Linked DNA regions of Drosophila melanogaster. Changing the gene in region 1 together with any one later gene gives a genetic interaction. Each region holds a gene or a part of one and is shown on either strand. Other genes may lie near its edges. The genes, in order: su(Hw), HIPP1, abd-A and f.

Region 1 (6,428 bases):
TCATAGAAGATTCCGCCGCCCATGATATTGTCGAAGGTGGCGGTGACGAACCGGCATTGGAAGGACAGCTCGATGCCCAGGGACGATTGGTGCAGCAGATCTTGGAAACGCAAAAGGAACTGGTCAATCAAGGCGCCGAAGTGGAACCGCCTCCAGCACAGGCAGGCCGACAAACTTCTGCGCGCCAGGTGAACGACGTACGCGACGTAGTCCAAAAGCTCACCAAGTCGATAGGTCCGCTGGGTAAACTACTGGACTGCATACCCGAGGATTTTGATGCAATGCAGCTGGAGCTTACGATGTGGCGCGACACCTACACGCAGGCATCCACGGAACTAAAAAGGGAGCAGACTCTCACGGCATCTGCCACGGAGCCCCTGCAGCATCAGTTGCAGCAAATCCAAGCCAGCATTGCGGAGTACCGGGAGCTAATCGACGAGAGTCGCCACAAGATCTTGCAAAACAACGCACGTATTCTGAAGTTGATGATGGAACAGTAAGCATTGAGGATTAATAAGCATTGTTAAAAATTCAAGAGAGTTTTATCGAAAATATTGAATTTGTATATTTTATAATTAATAAGAGTACTATAAAAATAGCCATGCATATATTGCTTGGTAACATCATTCAATTCAAAAATATATAAAATCTATATAATAATATCAAAATATCTTTGATATGTAATATGTTGGTTTGTTTGTTTTTGGGTAATTTGTCAATGCGCAAGATGTCTGAATATTCAAGCAACAGACGGTAAGTTTCTCTTTTAAGGTCACTTGGTGTTTGTACCAAAACCAACGATCTTAAAAATACAAATGTTGTAAAAATCATCAACGATCAATTCCTAGAATATGGTTTTTGTGCGGTAATTGTACGCATGCATCAAGGGCTGGAAAATCAAGCTTTCTCTTGTTCGCCTACAGGTTTTTTCTTATTTTCCCGGACCACCTCCTCTGAGTTATCCTTATCCACAGCTTTCCCCACGATCTCCTTCTTTTCAGATTTCGCCGAAACTTCCTTCTTTTCCGGTTTCTCTCTGATTTCATTTGTTTTAGTTTCGCCTGTGACCGACACCGCTTCTTCATCACCTGAATGTGACTCATTGTCTTTGTCCAATCCACCTTCGTCCTGATCCTCATCTCCCAGTACATATTCGATCACATCGTCGATGGGGAAATTATTGAGCAGCGACTTGATGGAATCGTTGTGAATGACCACGGTAAAGAGCAGTTTGCAGTACTCTCGCATGCGGCTACCGTAGTCAAGCTCAGCGTAGTTTTCGCCACCTTTGGTTAGGTCGTGGCCACAGTTCTCGATCACTTTGCAGAGCACCGTCTCCTCGGGGGCATTGGGCCAGCCGTATTTCTTTAGGATCGGTGGATCCACTAGCATATCAATAAGTTTACCCACATTCTCTTTGAGCTTTATGTCCTCCTCAGTTAGAATTTCGCCACTGAAGTCATCCTCGCTACATGATTCTTCCAAATTATCTGCGATGGCAGCGGCCAGACTGGCGGCCAGGGATTTACGCTGCTCTTTCTTTACCACCGGCGAGACCTGCGCCTCCTCCTTCTTCGCCTCGGGCTTAACGCCAGCCTCATCCGTCAGCTGCTCTCCCTCGATGGCCCCGTCCAGGGGCAGAATTGTGTATGTTTCGTTTTCTAGTGTAATGGTCTGGGCCGCGCCATCGCCTTCGTCCACGAGGAATTCACGCACCACAACGCCATTCCCGTCCGTTTGGCTAGAAATTAACGAGCCCGCCGATGTGTTTAACGCCACTGGTACAACCTCCTCCGATTCGATGTCCTTCTTTGCCCGCTTTGATGGATGCGGCTCAACGCCAAAAATGTCATCCGGATCGCATTCGTGAACGGTGCGTATGTGCCGTCGCAGGGTATCGCTGCTGTCAAAGTTCTTATCGCAAATGGCGCAATCCGTGCGTTCCATAATTTTGACGGCCGATCGCATTGATGACCGTTGTTGTTTCGCTACAAAGGGTAGGAGCGGGATTAAAGCCTTGATTATTGCCAATTGTCGATTCCAACTTACGGCTGTGTTTTCCCTCGTCCATATGCTCCTTGAGCAATGCTGGAGTGCGGAAATTACGCTTGCACTCGGCGCAGGAAAAGACGGGGCGTTTTGTGCGAGAATGGGTCTTCACATGGCGCTCAAGTCTGCGAAACAAAATTGCAATAAGTAAGTAGGGCTAACAGAAAAGATAAAAGGTTTTTTAATATCTTACTGTTTCTCTGTTTTGAATTTTTCGTCGCATTGCTCACAGGGAAAGGGGCGAATATGGGTTTTGGAATGGGTGCGCAGCTGGGTGGCCTGGATAAAACTCTTGCCACATTCATCACACTTGTGCGGACGCTCTCCAGTGTGCCGTTTCATGTGACGATTGAGCACTTCCTTTACGGCAAATGCTTGGTTGCACTAAAAGGTAATAGAATACCGCATTGTTACAATAGGTTAAATGAAAAGTTACGGAAGTTTTAAGACTAACCACAGTGCAACTGTATGGTTTCTCGCCAGTGTGATAGCGTCGATGCTTTTTAAGGGCCACCAATGCAGAAAACTTCTTGTCGCAAAGATCGCAGTCAAATGGTTTCTCCCCCGTATGAGTGCGTATGTGAATGCTGCGAAAATATACCGAACATTACTTTATGTCTTTTAAAATCAATTAGAAAACCTACTTCAGCGTGGACAGGCTGTAGAAACAATTCTTGCACGTGTGGCACATGTACTCCGGCTTTTTAACCACCTGTGTACCCAAATGCTGCTTCAAATGCGATCGCAGGTTGTCCAGCCGATAGAAGACACGATCGCACACCTTGCAGCTCATGGTATCGGTCTCGTTCGATGAGCACGATGAGTACTTCTGGTGGCGCTTCAAGTGGTACGAGCGGGTGAAGTCCTTGCCGCAGATCTTGCATGCATACGGCTTGCCACGTGACTTGTGCTGTTCCTCGTGGAGCGCCAACAAGGCCTCGCTGCGCAAGTTGGCATTGCAAATGGAGCAAGGAAAATCGCTGAACTCGGAGTGAGTGATGAAAATGTGGCGTTCGTAACTGGTCTGTGTCTTAAACGACTTGGGGCAGTCGGGACAGTTAATGTGACCCAGCTGAAAGGAAAATGTGGTATGCGAAAGTTATGCTTACTTCTCTTGGTATCAATCTTTATGACTTACATGGAAGGTGTCGTAACTTTCGCTGCAGCAGAAGCATATGTCCTTCTTCTCCATCACCACGGCATCCTTCTCGATCTTCTCCAGGTTCTTAAGCATGTCGGCTTTGCGCAAATGATACCCACTGTCATAGCGACAGAACTCTAGATGCTTTTTCAGACTCTGAACGCGACGGAAGGTCTTGTAGCATTTGCCACACACATGCTCCACGATCTCCTTGATCTTTGTCTGGCTAGAGTTGCCCTTGCCTGAGGAGTCTTCACCGTCCTCATCACCATCCTCCCCTAGATCCTCATCGTCCTCGGTGACAACGATCTCCTGGCCGTTGTTATTTTCTATTCTGCCCGGAACTACTTCCTCATCATCCGCTAGAATGAAATCAATGGTGTCATCTTCTTCGGTGACCACGGTAACCGTGGTGTCCGCCTTGGTATTTTCTGATTTCACAGCCTGAAGTACATAGTGCTCCATTTTCTTTCTTTTACTGGGAGACGTCTTGATCTTGGTAGTTTCCACGGCTGTCACGGTAGCACTGGGTGTCTTTTTCTCGTTCAGAATCTTCACAGTGGAAGCAGCCGGAGCTGTGCTCTTTGTGGCGCCCCGTTTCTCAGTTTTCGGAGTGCCCAGTATTTCTTCATTGAGTATTTTGATGCGCGATCCAGCGACACTGCCACGCTTCTCCTGCTTGTTGGAGGGAGTTCTTGATGTGGTAGTAGTAGTGCTTGCCTCCGAATCCTCACCAGCTCCCACGTCATTCAAGAGCTTCATCCTGGTGGCGGGACGTTTGTCCTTAGGCGGCGAAATGTTTTCCACACCCAGCAGCTTGCCCTTCTTTTCCTTGCCCTCCTTGGAGGCACTCATGTTGGTGATACCAGCCTGCAATTAAGATCGATTGGATGATAATTCAGGATCAGGATAACCAGTGACCGCTTTAGTCTACTTTTAGGCACGTGATTTACTGAACATCACATTTTGCCAGCGTCACCAACACACGCCCAAAAGCTGCTAAGAAAAAATGGCGTCGCGCTGTTCGATCTTTACGATCGATCGGCCTTGGTGTGAGCGAGACAACACTACCTGCGCCTGACGCACAGAAAACGCAACAAGTTTTCTTCTGAAATAAAATTGTATTTCAAAGGGGTAGCAAATAATTCTAATACACTCGCAAATCCGTAGCATACTTTTCAAATATTTAATGTGATTTTGTGCCGGCGAAGGACGTGGAGGATCGGTTTTAACCACTTATTTTGCTGATTAGAAGTGCACTTTTCTGCTCCGCAGCGAAAGAAAGTGACTGCCATCGCCGATAAAGAGCGTGAAATTATCAAGTCACTGGCTAAGGTATTTGCTTCACAAACATGTCCTCATATCACGGGATGCGTTCCTTAAAGGGTTTTGACCGCATTTCCGATAATAAATCACAATTTACCTAATTTTATGCTTTAAATTCCAACACGACAAGCGTTTGTGTATGAAAATTCAGTGTGACCGTTGCATGTAGGTTGGAAAATACCATTAATTACAACAACCCGTGAAAAAATAATCTGAACATGCCGCCATGAAAAGTACAAAGAAATTTCCTCTGTTTTGAATCTTCTGGGTTGTAAATTTGTAATAATTCCAACATAAATTTAAAATAAATAGCCGGTGTCTGGCTTAATATTATATTAACTTTTTATTGGTTAACTTTGTAAGCATAGATTAATGATCCGAACAATAAAGCTTATATGGAACATTTCACTATTTATATATAATTTCAGTCGAAGGCCACCGCAGCCGTTGCTCGGTAAGATAATTATCAGGTTTAACATTTTATACAAAAAGTAATTGAATAAAATACAAATAAATGCATTCTTTAATATGCATTTTGATAAAATAAAAAACAAAATATATAAGCATATAATTAAAATAGCAGTGCTCACAAGGGTTAAAGGCTAGTATGTTAATGAGGTATACCTATCCCATGATCTCGGTATATTTAAGCCGCCTTGCCACGGTCACACTTTCGCCAATTGCAACGATAAAAAGGTAAATAAAAGCCGCATTAACTCACAAATTGCAATTAACTAGCAATAATTGTAAGCCAATAGCCATGACGACTGCCTTTGATGCCGCACACACTGAGGGGCCGGGATTCGTGGGCATTCGGTTCTGCCAGGAGTGCAACAACATGCTGTACCCCAAGGAGGACAAGGAGAACAAGATCCTGCTGTACGCCTGCCGGAATTGCGATTACAAACAGGAGGCGGACTCCAACTGCATCTACGTGAACAAGATTATGCACGAGATCGACGAGCTGACCCACATTGTGCCCGACGTGATTTCCGATCCCACGCTGCCGCGCACCGAAGACCACGCTTGTCCCAAGTGCTCCCATCGGGAGGCGGTCTTCTTCCAGGCGCAAACTCGTCGCGCCGAAGAGGAGATGCGACTGTACTACGTGTGCACCAACCAGAACTGCACCCACCGTTGGACGGAGTAGAAACTGACGACCCATCTGCCTCTAATTGTAGCCCTAAGTAATCGAAGGCACTTTGCAATCGTACAATTGGAATTCCCCCATGGCTATGCCGCAAAAACATCCCACGTGCAGCTCCATTCTCGGTTGTCGCCTAATGTAATAACATTCGCACTGAAAAAAAATGCATGTGATCCGCATGACTTTGAATCACTTGCAAGAACTTCGATTTGGTTTGTATAAATGTTTAAATAGCTCAGTCTTAAAAATAAATATATAAGTTCATTGCGAGAAAACTGCTGTATCATCTTACTATATGTTTTGGCAAAACTACTTAATTTCAATGATCAAATGTTCAAGTGCAGTTGAGAAAACAACGAAAGTGTTCCGGGTTTATGATAAAATTTAGCAGGTTAAGCTGCATATTTAGGCAACATAAACTGCAAAACCAGATTTCATAGTTATAAACTTAATCAAGTCAGCCCGCTTGTATTCAAATGTCTTCATTATTTATTTATAAATGAATGTGTACTATGACTGACAATCTATGAATGTAAAACTGAGCGAGCAACGAATCTCCCCGAGGCATGTGCGAATTCCACAGTTCACGGCCCGGTGACAATTCTTCATATTTATCATTGTTCTGCTCTAATCGAAGCTGACAACAAACAAAATAAATAAAAAAAATAAGAACCGAAAGCGACGAAGAAATGATTGAACAAGTTTCTTGTGCGTATCAAACGACTGCCCATTTGAGTATTTGAGTAGTAGACCTGGCTTGGCTTG
Region 2 (6,191 bases), on another chromosome or scaffold:
ATGATTACAGAAACCGTGCTGCTAGTGGTTTTCGTGGGGGCCGATACCCACATTGAGAACACCTCGCGAAGCAACATCGTCCAGTTTTGCCGTCACGACCGCAAGGAGGTGGTGTGCCAACCGGATCTGAACAACCAGGACCACTCGATGCTTGTCGCAGATCTCGACCAGGACGGATCTCAGGAGCTAGTCACATACATGTCCACCTTCGTGCATCCCGAGGATCAGCCGCTGAGCGAATGGAAACTGCTGACCTACGTCCGTTTGTTGCGCCTCCAAGCAGAGCTACCTTCCTACTTCGAGGACCACAAGAACAACTAGATGGGCATTCAGATGGCGATCAGGAACTGAGTTGAGTTATAGAGCATTTAGCCAGCAGAAGCGTGCTGTCGATCATAAATAGTAGTTTAAACTAGTTGCGTGCATTACATTGTACATTAAAAACCTTTTCTAGCCTCCCATAATAAATTAGTCGACAAATAGATTTCAATTGATAAGTTCCGTTTATGGGAGCTGTTCATCTTATTTTATTTATTATGAGGCTTAACATTTTTTTCATATAACACAAGATATATTGCATGGGATCTTAAACTCCATTGTTTGATTGAAAAGTGAACTATTTGGGAATTTCGGATGACGGAAAATAAAATTTCGAATTTAAAACGTGTAAGCGATAATTTAATTTGCAAACTTTCCAATCCCAGCACGTTCAACTAATCGAGTTACCTTTAAAATCCTAATAGAACAGGATATAACTCCTGCCTCCGAATTTCTTACAATTTACACAGCGTTCGTACTTTACAATGGGGTAGGAGTAAAAAAATTCTTAGGGCGATAGTCTCATGGTCCAGAATAAAACTCCTAAAAGGACTCAACTAAATGTATGAATTAATCTTTATATGGTTTGTATGGATGAATGTCTACCATTCCCAAATGGTATACAGTAACTATAAATCAATGCTCTAAAAATCAACGTCGTTAAGATAGCGTTTGAAATTGGCTAAGCAATCGGCAGTAACCCATTGCTCTCCTATAACCTTTAGTTCCTCATCCAGACGCGGGAATTTCGTGACATTGACGGCGGAGTGGTTGAGTTTCTTTAGTGTACGATACATCTGTGGGATTTTCAATATAAGTTAACTAATAATAACACTAGATGTTACGCTTTACCTCCGCAGAGCTAGTGGATATCTGTTTGGCTTTGGCCAGAGCCATTTCGTTGACATTTCTGGCCTTGCAGATCTTGTCAACGAAACTATTCGATTCCAAAAGTTCCGTTGCGAACAGTCTTTCACCCATAAGAAACAAACGCGAGTGCTGAACGATACATGGGATGAGCTGTAGATAAGCTTTATAAAAGACTGAATATTTACCACTTCACTGGAAACTCTTTGGTGACCATGCCACAGAGCATAGCCCTCGGGCAGCTGACCCAATTTGGCATAGTTAGTCTCGAAGCTACAATCATCAGAGGCCACCACGTAGTCAGCAAAGGGAAGCTGCATAACGCCCAAATTAATCTGGCTGCCAACAATGCCAGCCACCAAGGGTTTAGGAAATGTGGCCAGAGTGCGTAGATAGCATCTAAAATGTAACGGTTTCGTTAATAAGCCTTTTCTCAAAGATACATTTGAATTACTTACTTAAGGGCTACAGCCAGTTGACTGGCACTATCCTTTCGCTTCTCCAGGGAACCCTGTATCAGTTCCTGGCAATCGATGCCCTGACAAAACTGTGGACCCTCGACGGTAAGCAACACCGTGTTGAATTCGCCTTTGCGGGCAACACTGGACAGTGTGTCGTTCAACTGCTCCAGCAGCTGCTTGCTGTACGTATGGCCGAAGTTTCCTCGTTCCGTGTGGATGACCAGGTGAGCAACTTTGTTAACCTTGTGCAGGCACACCAGTTCGCTACCGTTGTTCGCCTTCATATCGTTAGCCAGCGTATGCGAGGAGGTATCTTCACCGCCCCTTTGGCTCGACTTGCTTACGGGCTTTACAAACTTAAATGACGGGTCCGAGCCCTCGCCTGCATCATCAGACAGATTGGCTGCTCCGGGCCTATTGTCCAGCGAATTTCGACTTACGGAAGCGTTGCTGGAGTACGAGCTGTTGGAGCGCCGACGCATGATCATCGATTCCTCGCTGGCGCGCTGTTTGTAAACATAGTCCCACGAGTCGGAAGCGCGAGGCTTACGGGCAGATGTGTTGGCGGTGGCCTTAGTAAAAACAGAATCAGCAGGCGTTCGTTTGGCGGCCGATTGTGCTGACTCTTTTTTGGGCGGTGTTGGTTCCACAGCAACTCGTGCTGCCTGGTTCTTGTATTGGAAAATCATAAATATTCGATAATCGATAATAGGTATCTCGGATTTCTATAGTAGAAGTACTTACCCTTCCGGTTATGGTCATCGCTCGTTTCCGCATCAGCGGCTTATTGGACACCTCACCACCACTCAATTCCCGCTGCTCATGCTCCACTGCATGAATCATATTGGCAGCTCCCTCGTCGCCCATCAGGCGATCGATCTCAGAGACCTTTTTCTTTTTTTGAGTTCCTCCATTGGCTAGACCTGTGTTCGGAGTTTGCGCGCGTCGTTTGACGGGCGAGGGACCCCGCTCTGTTCCTCCGACCGGAGTGCCAGCTTTAGTAGACCGAGCAGTAGGTGTAGCTGACCGTTTTTTGGGTGCCACCTCCTTCTTAGTCGTCGTGGTGGGCGAAATGCTTTTGACAGTTGTTTTTGGTGTGGTGGGTGCTGGACATGCCGCCTTCGTGCTAGCATACTGCGCAAACGATTTTTTCGTCTCTGGTACATCGGGGTCCCAGATTATCTTCCTTTTAATTACACGCATACGCTTGAACCCTAAAAATTCAGTTTGTAAGCAATGATTTAATGAATTCCAACTTTACTGTACCCGTAGTATGCTCTTCGGTTTCCTTGGGAGGTGACACAACGACAGTCGGCTTGGTTTTTTCCGCTGCTGCCCCTGTTGAGGCTGCAAGTTGCTTTTGGCTCACGGTCTTTAACATTACTTTTACTCCGCTGATCTTGTTGTTTAGCAAAATTGCCGAGTTCGGGCTGTGCTTAACTGGGGATGACAATTTTTTCACAGGCAGAGGTGGCTTCTTAGTGACTACGTGTGCTGAAGGCAGAGTTATAACTTCTGTCACCAACGCGGAAGCCGACTTGTCTTCCTCAGAGTCGTAGTCGTCCCAATCATCGTTCAACGAGCTGACAATATCTATCGGCGCGACCACAGAAGGCGGCGCAGGCGGCTCCTTACGACGCGACTTTGGCTTTAGACCGGCCATCTGCTCCAGAGCAACAGCTCTGGCTTGTTCCGGGGAGAGCTTATGCTTGGATATAGAAGGCAAGGAGTTAGATTTGATGGGCTTGGACGCAGGTACCTTGGGGCTGGCTTTTCGACTCGATGACTCCCCCTCGTCGTCGTCAATTTCCATGATTTCGAACTGCCCTTCGCCCTCGATGGTAACACCTACATCCCCATCTTCTCCAACGCCGTCAAGCTCGGAGAGAGCCTTCTCCAATGTGCACTTTTCCTCTCCCGTAGGCTGATCATGACTGGTATCCGTCCCCTTGAGCAGGGCAATGAGATCTACCTCTTCCAAGGGGGATTCGCTGGACTGGCCGTTGCCTGAGGCAGCGTTGCCTTCTTCGATTATTGGGGTTCGACATTTAGCTTCATCTGGGGCCTGGCGGGGCTCTAAGCCACCATTGTCTGCTAAGGCAATTGGTGTGTCGGAATCCTTAACTTCGGACGCCGCATCCGGCGGTCGAATGTTATGCAGCTTAGCTATCTCCCTCTCCAGAGTGCTCAGCTCGTCCAAGCCTGGACCCTCTTCAGATCCGTTGAGATTGGCCAGCTCATTCTCCAAATCAGTGGGACCCGCACTTTCCGAGAGTGTTTCTAACGCCGCCGTTTTTAGTTCTAGAGTCTCAACTTTTTCGACTCCTGGTGGTGGCTCCTCTGCTTGGGTTGACTCCAGAGTTGTCACCGCACTATCCGACACCTGCTCCATGATTCCACTGCCCCACTGATGGCTTTCCGTTCAACAGGAGTTCCAAATTAAGGGCTTTGCGTGCTTGTTTCAATCGGATTGGTCTATTATAAAAAAAAGTGCACTTGCAGCTCAGCGGCCATTTTTTGTAGTGGTGCGCAGGTGGATCTATCGATAGGCGTGAAAATATCGGAAAAAGTGGATGGTTCGAGAATTACATTTTTCATTAAATTTAAACAACAATTAGCATTAAATAGATATCAGGTAGTTCGCTTATATATTTTAATATGTATGACCGGTTTTGTTATTATTTGCTATTAGAGTAAGTTCTTAGCGTGATCGTAAGAAATAACTGTCGAAATATGTTGAGCACAAATAAGAACCAAACTATTAAAACAAATATAAGTAATAATAGATAACAGTGGGAAATGTGTATATCTCTTGGCCATGCAATAGACTTTAGATACATGCGTGGAATATTTCTGAAAGAAGTTGAAAGGTCTTCCCGCAAGAACTTTTCAGAGTGACCAGTACGTTCAGCGGCATTTAGAAGGCGACGAGAAACGGTCACGTTGCGCTGGTATTTACCCCCCGCTCATCCCCTTTCGAATACTTGATTGAAAAAAGTCTCATCAGCAGCAAGGATACGCGCAAGGATAGCGCCAAGAAAGGCAACCGTTAATTGATCTAACCCCTCGGCGGTGGTCAGTGCCAGAGCACAGAGTATCCGCGAACCCCCAGGCACAAGCTAATCCCGGAGAGCGGCAAAATCCGGACGGAGCTGGGGCCAAAGCGAAACGAGCGTCGAATACAGAACTTCGCAGGCAGGGGGCAGCAGGCAGCAGGATGTGGGATTCGTCCATGTTTCTCAGCACTCTGACGCCTAAGTTCTACGTGGCGCTCACAGGGACCTCCAGCCTGATCTCGGGCCTGATCCTGATCTTTGAGTGGTGGTATTTCCGGAAGTATGGCACTTCGTTTATAGGTGAGTAGTGGGGTTCCCCTTCCTCCGCTTCCTTCTTATTCTGTTTCACTGTCCCTGTTTCGCAGAGCAAGTCTCTATCAACCACATTAGCCCCTGGATAAATGGCAGCGATGGCCAATCAGAGTCCAGCAATGGCAGTGGCAGCAGCAGCAGCAGTGGCTCCAGCAGCAGCAGCAATGGCGGAGCAGGCGGAGGAGGATCGGGTGGAGCAGGGGCATCAGGCAGTGGCAGCGCCACCACAAGTACGGGCACCCAAATGCCCGAGTGTAAGGTCTGGCGAAATCCACTTAATCTATTTCGCGGCGCCGAGTACCAGAGATTCTTTTGGGCCACCAGCAAGGAGCCGTTGACCTACTACGACATGAACTTAAGTGCCCAGGACCATCAAACATTTTTTACCTGCGAAGGCGATGCCCGCAAGGAGGAGTATGAGATCATGCAGACGGCCTGGCGCGAACGCAATCCCATGCAGCGCATCAAGTCCGCTCACAGTGCTCTGGAAATCAATGCGGAATGTGCACCTGCCTATATACTGCTGGCCGAGGAGGAAGCCATGACCATTATGGAGGCGGAGAAGATCCTGAAGACGGCCCTAAAGGTCGCCGAGATCAACTACCGCAAGTCGCAGGCCACCCAACACCAGGGCGCCATTGCGGATGGCATGCATCGGCGCGACACCAATGTGCTGATCTATATCAAGCGACGGCTTGCCATGTGCGCCCGCAAGCTGGGCAAGCTGAAGGAGGCGGCTAAAATGTTTCGCGATCTCACCAAGGAGATACCCTCGATCATGAGCGTACTGAACATTCACGAGAATCTAATCGAAACGCTGCTGGAGATGCAGGCCTACGCCGATTGCCATGCCATTCTGGCCAAGTACGATGACATCTCGCTGCCGAAATCGGCGACTATCTGCTATACAGCTGCTCTGCTGAAGGCGCGCGCCGTAGCCGACAAGTTTTCGCCAGACATAGCATCCAAGCGAGGTCTAAGTCAAGCTGAAATGAGCGCCGTTGAGGCCATTCATCGGGCGGTGGAGTTCAATCCGCATGTGCCCAAGTATCTGCTTGAGACAAAGCGACTTATTCTACCGCCAGAGCACATTTTGAAGCGCGGCGATTCGGAGGCGTTGGCCTACGCGTTCTTCCATCTGAAGCACTGGAAGCAGGTGGAGGGCGCCCTGAACCTG
Region 3 (4,615 bases), 2.5 Mb from region 1:
TTCCGATTCGGATTATACGATTATACGACTATACGACTGTAGTGCGGCAATACGATTCAGTTTCCGATTCGCCGTGTTTATTGTTCCGTTTCGGCCGCCGGCTTATTGTCACTTAAATGTTATAGATCGCGTAAAATATAATAAAATTGTGTGTGAAATTTAAAACCGAAAAAACTGTCAAAACACTATGGTTTATAACTCACTGTGTGCGGTTCGTAAAAATTAAAAAGACATAAAGTTGACATCGTAAAAAGGTTCTCGCCTCTCCGTTCCAGACTTCGATAGTTCTACCTGCAAAGTGTTTTATGACATTTTAAACAAAGTAATTAAAGCAAAACGTTGGGAGAAAGCATTTCTCCGGCCACACACACACTCACGCACTTGAGAAGTCGTTAAAAGCCGCAGGAAACTCACTCTGCCATAAAAATACAAGAGTGCCATTAAAAAAGATCGCGCGCCTATAAATCACACGTACGAAATCCCGCCGGCACGACGTCCATTCGAATTTCCGCGTAATTGATGACCGCATTTTAATTGCTTTTACAACAAATAAAAGATACACACACCCCAAACACACACATGCGACACACACACTTGTGCCACAGCTGCAAATACAACGCAACCCGAGACCATATGCAAATTTAACAAATTTCGTTGTGAATTCGCCAGCTTCGAGCGAAAAAAGTAACAGAAACAGAAAAGCTGCAAATACAAGCTGCTCGCCAAAAGTTCGCTAGAGAAAACTTGAGAAAGGTAACAAAATGCATTTCACTTCTCGGAATCGAGAAAAGTAGCTTAAAGTCGGGCAGCTGGCAAAGTTTCCGAATTCTGTCTCACTAACTCTATCTAAAAAGTACTAACTGTTGGCCATCTCATATAGTACTGTAAAAGTAACCCACATACTAACTCGTTGGCACTGGCAGGGAAATCTAGCTGAAAAATATATAAAGCATTTGGATTATATATTTTTTTCACTTGAGTTCTGTATCATGCTACCCGAAAGATTTATGTTCAATCCAAACATATTCAATTTGGTTAATGTTCTTTTTATGGTTTCCGAGTAATTTTTATAAACATGTTATATTTTTTGTTTTGCCATTTTTAATTCTTGTTTATCACATTGGACGCCAAGTTTATTTTTGTTTTTAGTACCTTTTAATTCGATTAATTTTGTTAGTGATTTATATACTAAGTCCAATGTAGTTTGCATTCGATTATGAAGTAGAAAAGTTAAATACAGAGACGGGAGATGTTCATTAAAGACAAGTAAATTTTAATAGACATTGATACAAATTAAATTGCTGTGTAAATCTTATGAAAAAGTTAAAGAAAAAGATATTTTTAAAATGCTATTTCTCACAGTGTTGAATTATAAAGTCATTCAAGTTTAAGATTTAGGTTGTGCTTACAGAAGTAGTCGGAACTTTTGTTTTATTATGGCTAGAAAGCGCTCCTCTCCACGCTGAATTCAAACAAAATTTGTTAAAGTCACACAAAGAGGAAACTTTAAATTATAAAACGAAATACTCAATCTAGCCATTAACCAAACGACTCAGATAAAGAACCCAAATCATTCGAACTCAGAAATCTCCGAAACTAAAATAGAACAACAAGTGGACTAAACGAAATTCCGAAGATCCGATCCTCGGCCAGAGAGCAAAATATGTGCAATGTCAAAATTTGTTTTCGATAGTATGCTGCCAAAGTATCCACAGTTCCAGCCGTTTATCAGTTCGCACCACTTAACCACCACCCCCCCGAATTCGTCATCTGCAGCAGTTGCCGCCGCCCTAGCCGCCGCCGCCGCCTCTGCATCCGCCAGCGTTTCAGCCAGCAGCAGCAGCAACAACAACAGCAGCAACACGATCGCTGGAAGCAACACAAGCAACACCAACAATAGCAGCAGCAGTCCAAGCAGCAGCAGCAACAACAACAGTAATCTCAATTTGAGCGGAGGATCCCTATCGCCGAGCCATTTGAGCCAACATCTGGGCCAATCGCCCCACTCACCCGTCTCCTCATCGTCGCCCTTCCAGCAGCACCACCCACAGGTGCAGCAGCAACACCTGAACCACCAGCAGCAGCAACATCTGCACCACCAGCAGCAGCAACACCACCACCAATACTCCTCGCTCTCGGCCGCTCTTCAGCTACAGCAGCAACAACACCACATTAGCAAACTAGCCGCCGCCGCAGTTGCCTCGCACGGACACGCCCACCAGCAACTGTTGCTAACGCCCCCGTCAGCGGGCAATTCTCAAGCGGGCGACAGCAGCTGCTCCCCATCGCCCTCGGCATCCGGTAGCTCCTCGCTACACCGCAGCCTCAACGACAACTCTCCCGGGTCCGCATCCGCGTCCGCCTCCGCATCCGCGGCCAGTTCCGTCGCTGCTGCTGCAGCCGCCGCCGCCGCTGCGGCTAGCTCCTCGTTTGCCATCCCCACCAGCAAGATGTATCCGTACGTGTCTAACCACCCTAGCAGCCATGGAGGGCTCTCCGGAATGGCCGGCTTCACCGGACTGGAGGATAAGTCGTGCAGGTAAGATAGATTGCCCTGTTTAAGTATGGGATAATGCAGATTTTTATAAATCGGGATGGGTTTTATGTCCAATCGTAGTAAAATGATCTTAAATGACCCTAATAGGAAGTGCAAATATAAAGTCAATGACAAATGATCTATACTATCTAATATGATATTCAAATATTTGGAGTGCATTGATAGAACTTCTCAGACAGTATCATATTTTAAAATATATGCAAATTTAGTATGACCATTAGCTTTACCTGGCTTCAAAACCTTTAAGAAGATGTTTCCGGGGTTGAAAATACAAAAAAAAAGAAACACTCAGCTCTTCCAAGAACTAATTTCGCGTGCTCTCAATTTGGCGAGCGGAAATGCCAGTCGAGACCTTCAGTAAAATCTGCAAACACTGCAAAACCGCAAATCCGTTTCGAATGCGCTCTAATTATCGGGTCTCGGATCCTGGGACTCTGTCCATTTTCCTCTCGGCCACCGGCCATTCATATTGAATGGCCATAAAGTCGGAAAATTAGAGCAGCCTGTGGTGGCCGCTGGCAATTTGTCGCCGGCCACAAGATTCGCACGCACGCTGACCTTCCGCTGCGGCCATTTGCATATTAGTACTACTGTATGGGCACTCCATGTGCATGTACAGTGAACCCTGCTGTGCGTGGGCGTGTTCGGGATTAGTGTGCAATTAGAGCTAACCGCAGTTTGGTGAAAGGGGCATGCAAATGGCCACCTCATTAGCATTTGACTTTAGTACGGGCGCTGGAGTTGGGAACGTACTATGAGAGCAGGGATCACCAACAATAATGGCTACTTTCTCTCTCCCACACCCACAGCAGGTACACGGACACTGTCATGAACAGCTACCAGTCGATGAGCGTACCTGCCTCGGCATCTGCACAGTTCGCTCAGTTCTATCAACATGCCACAGCCGCCGCATCCGCGGTATCCGCGGCCAGTGCCGGCGCGATCGGCGTGGACTCGCTGGGAAATGCCTGCACACAGCCCGCCTCCGGCGTGATGCCAGGGGCAGGGGGAGCGGGCGGAGCCGGTATCGCCGATCTGCCCAGGTATCCCTGGATGACGCTTACAGGTGAGTCAAAACTCGATACTCGATAGTGCGGAGATATATTATACATAAGTAAAAAAATAACTGCCAGATTCGGACTCTTTGTGAAAGACTTCGGATCTGAATGTGAGTGCCAAATTTGATAAATCTTGAAAGTTATCCGATTTTTAGAATTGAGAATCACACATATCCCAATACAAGTTTATCACACTGAGCCAATCAATCAGTCTTTTAAATTAAGAGTCTGTCTATCGTATCTACTGTGTTCTATATATCATGCCAATCATTATAAAATCAGAAATAATCCGTGCACTTCAGGGAATGTATATCGTCTTAAATCAAGAATAAATTGCCTTCAAGATCTACAAAGCGATCTCTTAAAATTTTTTGTGTACATATAAATCATGGCCACTTACACTGAAATCAAAAAATCAAATAAAAAATTGTAAGAACTTATATTGGATTGAATTATTTAGTCGCTATGTTAGGTTAAATACTATAATTAAAAAATTTAAACAGCTAAGTTGTTTAACAACCCGTAGACTTAAACCAGGTTCGAACTGATTTACAAATTGTATGACCTAACAAAAAGCGTCCAGTCGAATTATCGAATTAAATTTCCCAAGTGTAGTATTTGGAATGGTTGCTGCGTACCTTTTATAAACAATAGATAAACGTGGCGCAAACGTTCCCCAATAGCATTCCCATTTGCACCGCCATTTCGCCTACAATTCCAATTCGTAATGAACACTTTGCGGAGCACTTCCAAGTCGTTTATTTCGCATAAGTCTTCCAGGCGATTCGAATCCGTAAACGAAATGAACGAAGAGCTAAAAAGTTGGCAGTAAATAAAAATGAAAATAGTTTGAGAAATGCTTCTCTTGTCTGTCGTGTTATTTGGCGTCGATTTGTAATTTAAATAGCCTCAAGGTTGCCCCACACCGACAAACGTATAGCCCAAAATGCCGACCAAAAAACACTGCGATGTGCCCCGCGCATACAAAATCCACATATCC
Region 4 (4,586 bases), on another chromosome or scaffold:
TGATGAAATTGGCCTTAAGTAGCTGAAATAATTATAAAGACTATTATGTACTATAACAAATATGTTTTACAAAAAATATTTACATATTTAAAATATTTACAAACGTAATTTTAAATAATTCTTTTTATAGTTATAGGATAAAATATATTATAACATCTTCAACAATTCATGAACAGATAAATAATAAAAATATTTTCCAATAGATCAACGTGAAATTATAGTTAAGAGATATGATTAATTCGTTTCAAGTATTGTTTTATGAACCTATATTTGTACTATATATGTGGACTATAAAAGGGCCTATTTCACTGTCGCAATTGTTGGTTAATTTGGCCAATACAATGCCAATGGCCCGATGCCGTCAATTAGCCGAGAATAGAATTGTGAACTCGAATTGCAGAATGGCCAGCAACAGCGGTGATAATACCAACAACTATGGGCTTTAGTTAATATTACTATGCATGCCAGTGTTGTTGTTTCTGTTGTTGCTGACGCGTGCTCAGCCGAGTGAAGCGACGTCGACGTCGACGCCGTCAGAGGGTTGCCCCAGAGCAGAGTTGACATGGCAGTGAGCGTGAAAAATAAATAAATAATACAATCAGAGGGGCAGCTAAGCCCGCGACTCTTCAATATTGAGCAAACGTTGAACGTGCACAGAGAGAAAATGCTAGCCTGAGTCCGGGCAAAGTGGATGTAAATCACCTTTAATAGCTTCAGTCCGAACCTGCTAGAAAGTGATTTAAAATGAGTGAAAAGTAAGATAAAAATTAAAATGTTTAAATACGAAAATAAACTTGCAAATAAAAAGCAGTAAAGTCATACAATAAATCTAAGTTTTAGAAGTAGACCGTTAGTGAATAATTGAACAGTTTTACAAGTTGTCGATCCTGTCACACTTGAAATAAATAACTAAAGAAATAGGTATTAAATGACGCAGAAGTCACTCAAGTTCCTATTTAAAAAGGTAAAATGTTTTTTAAAAGTAAATTTGTTTTCATTTTGTTTTGAAAAATATGGTCATTTAGATTGTAAATATTGTATTTAATTTTTTTTTATTTGCAAAATTACAATTATTACTATTATTAAGAGTATTCATTATAGTTAAGTGTGTTAAAATTAATAAAAAAAAATTTAAGTAGATATTAAATGGGCATTTGCAATATTTGTAGCTGCGTGTAGCTGCGGCAGCAGTGGCATATCGGCAAACAAAGCGGCACCAACAACACCAGCAGCTCCAACAAAACAGCCCATAATCACAATTACAATAACAAAAACATTTACATCAACAATAACAATAACAATAACAGAGAAGAGCAGCAACAGAAAACTCTTAATCATGAGTGGCGTTTGGCTGGCAGCGCAGCTGGCGCAACGTTTTTGCATAGGAATCCGACTGCGGATTTTGAAGTTGTATCTTTTTTGGCCAGCGAACATTTGCGTCGCCGGCGTCACGGAGCGCGGACGCGACAAACGCGACATTGCCGAGCGGAAACCGGAAAACGAGCGGGTTTTCAGAAAATCAGAAACAGAACGCAATCAGTGACATAAAGTCAACTAGTTCGGGAATTTGGGGGAACGAATTTTCGGGGTGGGAACGAACGTACAAATACGTATATAGAACCAAAACCAGAAGAGGAACAAGCCACGAAACGAATCCAATGGCCAGTTGTGCGCCGGTGATCGTGTGGAACGGTGCTCAGTTTACGGCCAGCAGCAGGGAGCTGGAGCAGCTGCGTCGCGATTACGGTCTGGATGCTCGGATGTTGGAGGCGACACTGGTGCCGCGATATAAACGCCACAAGCCGCAGGCAGCGGCACGGAATGATCACGTTCGTGTGACCAAGGAGCAGCAATCGGATTGGATCCTCAAGCAGGATCGCAGCACCAACGTCAGCCAGGTGAACTTCCATCCCTGGGCGGGTGCTCACTTCGACTTGGTGCCCTGGCGTCGCACGCGATCCGCTTTGGATTTGACAGCAGTGGAGGATTACAATCACGGTCTGGTCGATCCCAAATCGCTGAAGGGTCTGGAGAAATTGGAGCTGAGACAGCAGCGCAGGAGGTTACAGCGCGCCAGGTCAACGCATCAGGGTCTCCGGCGATTGGTGCGCGTCCGCTTGATCTTCTCCATCGAGCTGCGGCACAAGCGGATGGAGGTGCTAAGGAAAAGTTCGCTGCCCGTGCGGGTTTTCGAGCAGCGCTTTGCCCTCTCGGAAAACGAGAGCGCCGCCTACGAGCGCATCCTGCTGGATGCCAATGCGGGAGTGGACCAACATGTGGGCTATTTTAGCAAGAGGCAAGTGGTTACATCCAACCGGGAATCCAACGAAGAGTTGGTGGTGGATTTCGCAAGCGAAACGGAGGCGGATGAGAAGGCAGATGAGCAGCCGGAAAAGGAGGAGGCCCAATATGCCACAATAGCTCCAGCGGAAAAAGGAGGCAGTGCAGCAGTGCCCGACAAGGAATCCGGCCAGGTGCCATGCGTCAAGTGCCGCGATATTGCCATCAAATTGAGGTAAAAGAAATCGCTAGAAAAAATAAACAAAAACGGCAAACCAGAACACAAATTAGCTGCAAAAATAGACGAGCGCCAAAATCAATTAGTTACAGTAATATGTCGATAAAGACTACAAACAAGTGCAAATTCTACAATAATATGGGAGTGCAAGAAATATCAATTTATTGACTATGGTTCTATATTTAGTGCTATATTTTTTTAAGTGCTACCCGAAATATTTGATATCAGTGCAACCTTTAAAAAATCTTTGGAAACTCGTATTATTATTTAATGAGTCTGTTGCCACGACAAAATCCGGGATGGGTATATAATTTATAGTTTTTACCCATCGGATTATGTGCGAACTTTTGGATCGAAAGCAGCTTGCAAATTTCCCACAAACTCTCCGGCTTTCCCATTTCATAAAAACCCACAGATCTTCATGAGTATAATTTCTTAAATGATTATTTTCTTCCGTTCTCTGTTCTTTCACTTTTTCCGAACTTTGACCATCCCCTTCCTCTCCCATACATATTTACTTAACTATTTATGTTTTTGTTTTGATGCTATGAACGAAAGGTTAATAGAAACAAACTCTAAAGTCTGTAGATTATTAAACTATTTGTATTGTTTAATACTCACTTAAAGCAGCTTGCCTTGAAAGGTTTATAATTTTGCTTTTTGAATTACAGTATTAACCGCATGGATGCGTTTGCCATGCTCATTAGTATCTTAGCCAAAAATATTTTGTATATAGGAGTATTGAGCAAATACATTTTTTAAATAGCTGCACGAATCAATAAGTCTAATGCGAACAGCCAATTGGAAATGTAAAATTTAGTTGTTTCACCTTTAAAATAAGTATTTACTTTCTGTTTACTTGAGTTATATCACGAGCCAGCGATCAAATGAAGCCAAAAAACAGAGGGCACCTCTTAACACCCTTAAAGATCATAATTTTCTTAACCCCCTTTGCCACTTCAGTTGACCAACTGGCCTGCAATGCTATTGCCAAATAGCTTATTTCACTTTTTTCTTTCTCAGCTAAATGTTTGTGAGTTTTGTCGGATTGTTAGCTTTGTTGGCTATGTTGGCTTTGTGGTTTTCGTGGGTTTCATGGGCTCGGTGGCACCTGCCCTGTTTTGTTGACACCTGCTACCGGCCCGCTTCCATTTTCCATTTGCCATTTGGTGTGTTCGGCGATGCCAGCGTTGATGCAATAAACTGGAAGAAAGTGTCGTCTTCGCGGCTTTCTGTTTCTTTTTGTTGCCACAAGAGGAAAGCAGCGACAAACGAGCAAAGACAAACGAGATCCATCCACAAATGCCCGGTATTTTCGCATTTTAATGCTGGCGGCGCTGCTTCTCAGCTTTCAATTAATGTGTCGCCGTGTGTATTGTTTCTCTTAGCATTATTATTATGATTGTTATTGTTTATTTGTGCCGCGGAAACGGCAATCAGGTGAGTCAGCAGCAGACTTGACCTGGTTTAGTGATTCGGAAAAGGGCACTCAGTGAATCCAAGTGCAGCCCAAGATGCGCACAAAGATGCCATCAAAATTAATAACCATCACTTCCCCCGGCCAATTAATTAATTAAAAGTTGTGCCTAAATGGCTGTCAAGCAAACAATTTAATAACAATGAGCAATTTTCGTGGGCTATATTGAACATGCTACTAGATTTGCAACAAGAGTAAAAAAAAAACAATTAGCTATTAGTAAAGAGAAAAATGAAATAAAAGTGAATTTTAAGGAAATTTGTAACTAATTTGCTTCGCAACAAAGGTAAACTTATATATTATTTAGTGTTCCTAGATATTAGTAAAAAGGAAGGCGTTAAATGAATTTCAATAATATATTAAATATTTAGTTTTAAAATTGTGTTGCACTTTCTTGGCAAGTTCGTGTCTTAAGTCCTTAGCTTAGTGTGTAAGTTTGTGTCTTAAGTCATTTGTTTGGGGTGCAGAAAAGTAGACTGCAATTGGAGATACAAAGCAAGCTGAAAAGTATGCAATATTTTTTCTCTGCTGACCCTTGTCAAAGGAGATCGGGAAATGAGATCCCTCGGTTGCCTTCTATTGAGCCTCCTT

What was found.
Region 2: of su(Hw) (region 1) and HIPP1, changing one enhances a phenotype caused by changing the other (phenotypic enhancement), as found in Drosophila melanogaster (one study listed by BioGRID).
Region 3: of su(Hw) (region 1) and abd-A, changing one enhances a phenotype caused by changing the other (phenotypic enhancement), as found in Drosophila melanogaster (2 studies listed by BioGRID).
Region 4: of su(Hw) (region 1) and f, changing one suppresses a phenotype caused by changing the other (phenotypic suppression), as found in Drosophila melanogaster (2 studies listed by BioGRID).

Annotation. Positions count from the first base shown.
Region 1 is NT_033777.3:14,303,911-14,310,338, forward strand, and holds su(Hw) (suppressor of hairy wing), read right to left. Parts: upstream 4,680-6,428; 5' UTR 4,366-4,679; intron 4,299-4,365; exon of another isoform or gene 4,125-4,298; intron 4,061-4,124; 5' UTR 4,046-4,060; coding exon 3,188-4,045; intron 3,122-3,187; coding exon 2,694-3,121; intron 2,637-2,693; coding exon 2,504-2,636; intron 2,434-2,503; coding exon 2,243-2,433; intron 2,175-2,242; coding exon 2,050-2,174; intron 1,989-2,049; coding exon 898-1,988; 3' UTR 545-897; downstream 1-544. Other genes in the region: IFT54 (intraflagellar transport 54), read left to right, coding at 1-500; Polr2I (RNA polymerase II subunit I), read left to right, coding at 5,277-5,666. UniProt on the Drosophila melanogaster protein: Component of the gypsy chromatin insulator complex which is required for the function of the gypsy chromatin insulator and other endogenous chromatin insulators.
Region 2 is NT_037436.4:20,807,650-20,813,840, reverse strand, and holds HIPP1 (HP1 and insulator partner protein 1), read right to left. Parts: upstream 4,173-6,191; 5' UTR 4,039-4,172; coding exon 2,913-4,038; intron 2,861-2,912; coding exon 2,391-2,860; intron 2,318-2,390; coding exon 1,644-2,317; intron 1,585-1,643; coding exon 1,374-1,584; intron 1,318-1,373; coding exon 1,171-1,317; intron 1,116-1,170; coding exon 963-1,115; 3' UTR 509-962; downstream 1-508. Other genes in the region: CG3618 (uncharacterized protein), read left to right, coding at 1-321; CG3634 (uncharacterized protein), read left to right, coding at 4,864-5,002, 5,068-6,191.
Region 3 is NT_033777.3:16,825,059-16,829,673, reverse strand, and holds the start of abd-A (abdominal A), read left to right. Parts: upstream 1-1,568; 5' UTR 1,569-1,670; coding exon 1,671-2,539; intron 2,540-3,366; coding exon 3,367-3,623; intron 3,624-4,615. UniProt on the Drosophila melanogaster protein: Sequence-specific transcription factor which is part of a developmental regulatory system that provides cells with specific positional identities on the anterior-posterior axis. Required for segmental identity of the second through eighth abdominal segments.
Region 4 is NC_004354.4:17,257,817-17,262,402, forward strand, and holds the start of f (forked), read left to right. Parts: upstream 1-1,557; 5' UTR 1,558-1,658; coding exon 1,659-2,515; intron 2,516-4,586.